Linked DNA regions of Arabidopsis thaliana. The protein of the gene in region 2 interacts with the protein of the main gene of each other region in a pairwise test. Each region holds a gene or a part of one and is shown on either strand. Other genes may lie near its edges.

Region 1 (3,924 bases), on a different chromosome or scaffold from region 2:
TCGAAGCCTTGGGATGTAAATTATCTCTGACGTTTGTGGTTTATAATGGTTGGAACAGGGAGTTCATGAAATATTTGAAGGATCACCTGACCGGTTATGGAGAAAAGATGAAACAAGAACCAACAAGATTGTTTTCATCGGCAAGAATTTGAACCGGGAGGAGTTAGAGATGGGTTTCAGAGCTTGCTTGATTTGATTATAGGACCAAATATTTAAAATCATTCCATTTTGTAATCAACTGGTCAATAGATTTTTGAACAAGAAATATCGTCTAAAGCTTGACACTAACTACAAGAGCCTGAATCAAGAACATATTAAAGCCTTCACCGTACAAAAAGTGAGTCCCTTTCTAACACAAGCGGCAAAACTACACAAGATCCCAAAACCAAAATGCCCATAAGTTAGAAGGTAAGATTCCTACTACTGACGACCAAGTAAATTCCTCCACTTATCCTTCAAATCCACCTCGCTCCTATCAGCGAAAACAACAGGGTATGAATTCTTGATATCTTTCCATGATTTTCCATATTCTTTAACTCCTTCCCTCAAAGCTGCCACTTCTTCAGAAGTCCAGAATTTCATTGGCCTTCTGGGACGCGGTCTTTCTAATCTTCCTTTCTTCAACGGTGATACATTCAGAGGTTCCGGGGTTGGTAGATGAGGCCTGACTCTTCTAGACGATGATGTTCCCTCACTATCTTCTGCATCAGTCCTATTTGCCCCATCAGGCTGAGGAGTGACATCAACTGAATGCTCCATTGCATTGTTAGGTTCTTGATCTTGCCTTGTTATAGGGTCGATGAGTCTTTGAATCTCCAACAAAAAATCCTTAAGCTCTCGAGCTACCAACATTTCCCCCTTATTAAGACTTGGCTCGTGTTCCTGTTCATGTTCATTCACCTTACCAACCCCATCAGGATTCTCCACACCACCCACTTCTTCAACATCATTAGCTTTCTCTCTATTACCTCCTCTCCGGGAAGCATATGGTGAATCCTTACGCTTAAGAAACCTCTTTCGAGCTTCTGATTCAAGAGAAGAACATCCAAGTAGTGCCCACTGCTCTTTGAGAAGCTGATTAAGATGAGAGATGGCATTGTACCTGATGTTAGTCTCACGAATCTTCTGGTAAATCTCAGGTTCCTCAAACGCCTTGTTTAGATCACTCTCCCATTTCAACAACTCACGAGTCACCAAGTCGCTCTCTTTCTCCTTCAATGTCCCAATCCGATTCCTCCAAATCCTCTCAAGGGCATCACCGAAGAAGCCATCCGAAGCATTCACTGGCCACATAAACCTAAGCGTGCATTCCACAGCAGTCCAGCAATACGCAGATTTGAGAGATCCCATGATAACCGAATGTTCCTGTAACAGAAGCTTCTCAAGAATTTCGAGGAGATCAAGCATTCCTTCGTCTACGGTACCTTGAATCATGGAATTGGAGATATCCCGCAAAACAGCAGTTAGCTTGAGTTTTACACAGTCGTCGGAATCTACTGGTTTCAGAGCCGATAACAGTGGAAAAGCGTAAACCCTAGGATTTAGTTGGCGTCGGAGGAAAAATTCAGCTACCCATTTGTCCATCACTTCCATTTCCAAGACTTTGCAAGTAAAAGATGCGAAAACCCGCGATCAGTTTTCGCCGTCGGTGCGTGGTTAGGGTTACAATTTTGGGAAGAGGAAAAGCTCCGACCAACTATGGTGGCAACAACACACGTGTGAATCATTCAAATTTAAAATGTGTTTTTTTCTTTTAATTAAATAAGACGAGACATTCAAGCGGCCCATTATATAATCGGCCCATAACGAAACGATGTTGTCCTGATCCGAATCGGGTGGGTGACCCGAGATCATTGGAGACAGAGAAAAACAGTAATGACTTTTGAGCAATACAATGTTGATCCAATACAAATATGGCCGGAGAAGGAGACAATTTGTCCGTATTTGTTTCCGGCGACCAGAGGGATAAGCATTTCCACAGATACATTTAGAGAAAAAAAGACAAGTTTATTGATACCAAGCCAAAAGAGACCCCAACATACATATGAACACACCAAAATCCCTTTTTTATTTTCCACTCTTGACGTTTTCCAAAAAAGTCACAACTTTTTATTTTTGAATCTAGCATAATCCAATCAAACTTGTGATCTTAAGATGATGATGATGATGATGATGATGATGATGATATATCATTCATAGGAACAACACCACCATCATTGAGCAATTTCTGCTCAGTTTTCTTGGGCGATTGAACCTCCCCACCAAACATTTGCTTCCTGTATTGCTGATGTAATCTCCCAAACAGCTCCTTCTTAACAGACTCAAAAGCCATATCCAATCTCTCCAACTGTTCAAGAGCATTCGGATTATACATAAACAAACCGTAGAAAAGCTCAAAGCTATCACTCGATGTGTTCTCCACCAAATCCAACAACGTCTCATAACCTTTGGTGTTAATCGGCGAAGACTCAACTCCATATTTCTCCAAAACCCTTCCCATAGTATGCGTCACGAATTGCGATCCAGCTGCGTAATAATCATGCTTCTCACAGCTCATTTCAACCATCTTGCAACCTTCATTCTCAAAAATTCTTAGAAACTTCTCACACCTCTCTTGTCTTGAAGCTGCGTCTCCGATTCTCACCTTATCGTAGACAAAGGGCAAGCCAGACCAAGAATGCTTACCACTCTCAGGTCCAAACATTGGATGAGTACAGAGAATGTCAAACTCCTTAGGAAGGTATTTAATGAAGAGGGCTTTTGGGAATTCCTTAACGGAGAGAACATCGACGAAGAGTGTGCTACGACGGAGACGTTGGAAAGGGAATGATCTGAGGACTGATTCTGTGGAGAGGATTGAGGTACAGAGGAGGACAACGTCGGGATGTTGTTCACAGAGATCGTGAGGGTTATCGAAGAAACGAGCTCCGATTGAGTTTGCGGCGTCGGAGTAATCGGAGCGGGAGTGAGTGATTAGATCGTGGCCGTGTCGAATTAGGGTTTTGGAGAGGAATTGGCCGAAATTGCCGAAACCCAAGACGGCGATTTTGAGAGCAGAGGATTTGCGGTACTCGGATTTGAGTTGGGTTTCGTAATCGAAGATTTGGGCGGCGTCGATTGCTCGAATTCGAAGAGATCGCGGCGGGGAAATGAGGAATGTGGGTGAATTGCGGCGGAGATTGGGTGGAGAAATGAGGGGTTTCGCCGGAGAGAAATGGAGTAGCATTGTGAGTAGTGTTGATTGAGTTTTAGCTCCAAAGTTGGGAGCTTAGAGAAATCTGTGAGAATAGAAGAGGAAGAAGCGGTTGCGCCAAAGGAGGAAGAAGATGCGAGCGAGCCTCAAAAATAAACGGATCAATTTTATGTCGTGGCCTAAACGTGGTGATGCTGATTGACCCAAGAAAAACAAAATGCTAAATACACAACAACACAAGGACCATAATGGAAATAAAAAATTGAGGTCAAAATTAAAAGTCGTTCCAAGGAAATTTGTAGGTACTGTTTTGTATTCATTTGTATTTAGTAACCCGCATTTACAATATTTCTTTTTCTGAAGGACTAGAGTTTTTATTTGTCCATAATTTTATTTTGATTTGTTACTTTAAAGTTCAATCTCTTCCTATATATGAATCTTTAAAAAGAAAATTTCGTAATTTTCATATGCTGACTATAGTTGTTGTTTTTTGGTTTTCTATTAATTTGGCTATTTGTAGTAATTTTTATTAGGATTTAGGAGGGTTATTGATATTTCCCTCGTTTTTCTCATAGAAAAAAAAAAACAAAAACTCTAATTTTGACTTTTGTAGTAATTTTTATATACTGACCCCTAATAAACATGATAATTACAGAAAACCCCTCAAGTTCTCTTTCTTTGCTCATTTCTTCACGAGAAGATGAAATCTTAAACCTCTCAAGTTCAGGGTC
Region 2 (3,924 bases):
CCCGAGGCTCAAGTTATTCATAAATCAAAGACGTCCAAGAACATCACTAAATGTTTAAACAAAACACACTAGTGAGAAGTCTTGAATATTTCAACTTTTCAAGGGTTGTGTACAAGAACCTGTACAGCCCCTGAAATACTCTGTAACATATCGGCTCCTTCATGTGCCAACATCCTTTGACTTTCCCCCATACGATTATGCATGTAAAGCTCCATTGTTTCCAACATAGTCCCATCCGCATGTCCACTTCTGGACTGAATCAAAAACTTCAATACATTTAGCTCATTAAAGCGACCACTATAATTTCTTACCACCACCGTTTTAAGTGTCTTAGGAAGAGACTTATAGGTAAGGTTCTTTTGCCAACATGTTCGTGGACTGATGCCACAATATGACTTATAATATAAACGATGAGCCTTCACATTCTGGGATCCGTCTTATGGGATCTTCACATTCTGGGATAGCCTTCAAAAAGAAAAATACACATATTCCGCTCAAGATTAATGTCTAACGGTCTTAAATATACACCAAATTTAACGTAATCGATTGAAGGTATTAGATAAGGAAACTACATTAAACCATTCACTTTTAATCACTAGACTACTGAAAAGTTTCATACCTAGCTAGTACTATTTTCTTCAGTTCTCAAAGATATGTTAATAATGTAAAATGTATTGTAAATATGTTAAGACTTAAATATACCTGAAGGAGATAAGGGCAGGCACTTAAGGTCCTTGCCCCTCGAAAACTGTTAAGGAAGCCAGAAAGAACTGTTCCGTCTAATTTGGTTATTTGATTCGGTTCATCGTAATCGCCCTCTGCGCAGAAGTCCAAGTAGACTTGTTTTAGTTTCCTATTCATTCTCTTGACATGGAAGGAGAGAATTGAGCCTGATCGTACTTAAAGATCTCTACATTAGGCAGGTCAAAGGAACAAGGCTTTTTAGGGAAGAAGTCGCAGTTATCGAATACGAATTCTTTCATATCTCCTGCAAAGTTCTTGATATCAATACTCCAGCAGTAACTAAGACTTAGACTCTTGAGCGTAGGAGAGTTTGATAACAAAGACTCGGCCTCTGTGAGCTTGATCCAACCAATAGAGAGCTTTCTAGGCAATCCCGAGTTTTTGAACTTGGAGGGATCAAGCCCACACGCGTAAATCTTTAGTGATTCGAGATTTGTGTTTAAAATCCGAATTAAAACCTAATCAAATTAAAACTAAACCAAACCAAATACAATCCAAAATTAAACTAATTTTGGTTGAGTTTGGTTATAGTTTTACTAAATCCAAATTAACAGAACATAACCAAACCCGAAGATTTTTAGAGTCTTTAGAATTTTAAGGTGATTTTAGATAAAAGAGATTAAACACAAATCTCGAAAACTAAAGAAAGAGTTTTTGAAAATTTTTAAGTGTTTTCATGTAAAGTGGATTTCTCTGTGTTTTCTGCATTCTGCGGATTATAACTCCTATGTTTTTTTTCTCCGTCAATTATATGTGTTTATTTTCTCTATTTTCTTTTATTTTTATTTTTATTCTCTATATTAGGGTTTAGTTTATGAAAACTTTTTGTTATCTATATAGGCTTGGGGGATGTATTTAAATTAGAATTTAAAGTGATTTGAGTTCTTTGAGTTTTTAAATAATTTTAACGATTTTAAAAAAGTTCGTATGATTTTTGTAAAATCTATTAAAATCTCACCTTAAATCATGGGATTTGGATTTCTGTATTTTGAACTAAGAAAATCCTCTCAAATCCTCCAAAATCATTAAAATTCAAATCCACAAATTGTTCTGAATAACAGTGAATTTTAAGGTGGATTTTGAAATAATTAGTTCAATAACACTGAATTTCATGAGATTTTTTAAAATACATGTTTGAATAACATATGATTTATAAATTCTACACAAATCTTTTAAAATTCTAATTTCAATACATTGTTTTTGAAAGTGTTATTGACTCTTGCCAATATAGTATCCCAATTCCCAACTTGTGTTTCATTTTTTCATCTATCTAATAAACAATTAGATGAACACAAAAAAATATTGGTAGGTGATGGCTCAATTGGATATGTTTTTGAAAACCATGTGTTAAAAACTTAAAATACTATCCAACTTACCCCAGTCCTACCAACTTTTTTTTTCTTCTCTTGGTCTGCTTACATGTGTCTGCTTATATCTCCAAAAGGAAATAGATATATAAAAATTCAAATTTAAATATTTGCGATTTGTTAAATTTTAATCAATATTTAATTTTTGTTTTTTTTTGTTTTTTTTTATGAAGACAACAAATAACCAAATTTATCAAATCTGATCAAAGCAGATTTAGGATTTTACAAATATATTTTTTTAATATGAATTTTGTGGTCAGATTTTGACCAATTCTCTTTGAAAAAAAAAAAAATCTATCTATAAAAACATGTGTTACTTTGAAAGGATATTTCAAGGAGAAGAATATATTTGACTCAGAGAGAGATTCATTCAGTAATGGCAGCCTCAGGCACCTCTGCTACTTTCAGAGCCTCCGTTTCTTCAGCTCCTTCCTCTTCTTCCCAATTGACCCATTTGAAATCACCCTTCAAAGCTGTCAAATATACGCCTCTGCCATCGTCTCGCTCCAAGTCATCATCCTTCTCCGTCTCCTGCACCATCGCCAAGGACCCGCCTGTTCTCATGGCCGCCGGATCTGACCCGGCCCTGTGGCAACGACCCGATTCGTTCGGTCGGTTTGGGAAGTTTGGTGGGAAGTATGTACCTGAAACCCTTATGCACGCTCTATCTGAGCTTGAATCCGCTTTCTATGCTCTTGCCACCGACGATGATTTCCAGGTAGAGACCTTGTTCTTCGTGATTAGATAAAAATGAGACATTTTGCGTTGTGGGTCGTTGGAATTGTAGCGTTATCATTTGCGGGTTGTGATAAAGTTCGGATCTTGTTGATGGGATATGTTGATTCTAGGGCATTTGAATGAAATTGGTTCTGTTCATTTATGAAATGGTTAGAAATATGGTTTTGGTTCCTCTGGTTCAATGTCTCATTCATGTCCTTTGTGTATTTGTGTGAATGAATCTTTGTTAGAGAGAGTTGGCTGGAATCTTGAAGGACTATGTGGGTAGAGAAAGTCCTCTGTATTTTGCAGAGAGGCTTACGGAGCATTACAGGCGCGAGAATGGCGAAGGGCCTCTTATATACTTGAAGAGAGAAGACTTGAATCACACAGGAGCTCACAAGATTAACAACGCTGTGGCTCAGGCTCTTCTTGCTAAGCGGTTGGGGAAGAAGAGGATTATTGCTGAGACAGGAGCGGGTCAACATGGTGTGGCTACAGCTACTGTGTGTGCCCGTTTTGGTTTGGAGTGTATTATCTATATGGGTGCTCAAGATATGGAGAGACAAGCACTCAATGTGTTCAGAATGCGACTTCTTGGTGCCGAGGTGATGCTTAGGATTCATTTCCATCTCTTTTAAATGTGATAAACTTTGTTACTGAACCTTTTTTTGGGTGTCTGGTGCTATAGGTGAGAGGAGTCCACTCTGGAACAGCGACATTGAAGGATGCGACATCTGAAGCGATAAGAGATTGGGTGACAAATGTGGAGACTACCCATTACATATTGGGATCTGTGGCGGGTCCTCATCCTTACCCCATGATGGTCAGAGACTTTCACGCTGTGATTGGTAAAGAAACAAGGAAACAAGCGTTGGAGAAATGGGGCGGGAAGCCGGATGTCTTGGTGGCTTGTGTCGGTGGTGGTTCAAACGCTATGGGACTCTTCCATGAATTTGTGAATGACACAGAGGTCCGGATGATCGGTGTGGAAGCAGCGGGATTCGGATTGGACAGTGGCAAACACGCTGCTACATTGACAAAGGGAGATGTTGGTGTCCTCCATGGAGCTATGAGTTACTTGCTGCAAGATGAT

What was found.
Region 1: the proteins of TSB1 (region 2) and TRFL5 interact in a two-hybrid assay, tested with the Arabidopsis thaliana proteins (one large-scale study listed by BioGRID).

What each region holds. Positions count from the first base shown.
Region 1 is NC_003070.9:5,403,807-5,407,730, reverse strand, and holds TRFL5 (TRF-like 5), read right to left. Parts: upstream 1,707-3,924; 5' UTR 1,594-1,706; coding exon 421-1,593; 3' UTR 245-420; downstream 1-244. Other genes in the region: AT1G15730 (Cobalamin biosynthesis CobW-like protein), read left to right, coding at 59-196; AT1G15710 (prephenate dehydrogenase family protein), read right to left, coding at 2,150-3,226.
Region 2 is NC_003076.8:22,265,302-22,269,225, reverse strand, and holds the start of TSB1 (tryptophan synthase beta-subunit 1), read left to right. Parts: upstream 1-2,323; 5' UTR 2,324-2,487; coding exon 2,488-2,829; intron 2,830-3,079; coding exon 3,080-3,436; intron 3,437-3,519; coding exon 3,520-3,924. UniProt on the Arabidopsis thaliana protein: The beta subunit is responsible for the synthesis of L-tryptophan from indole and L-serine.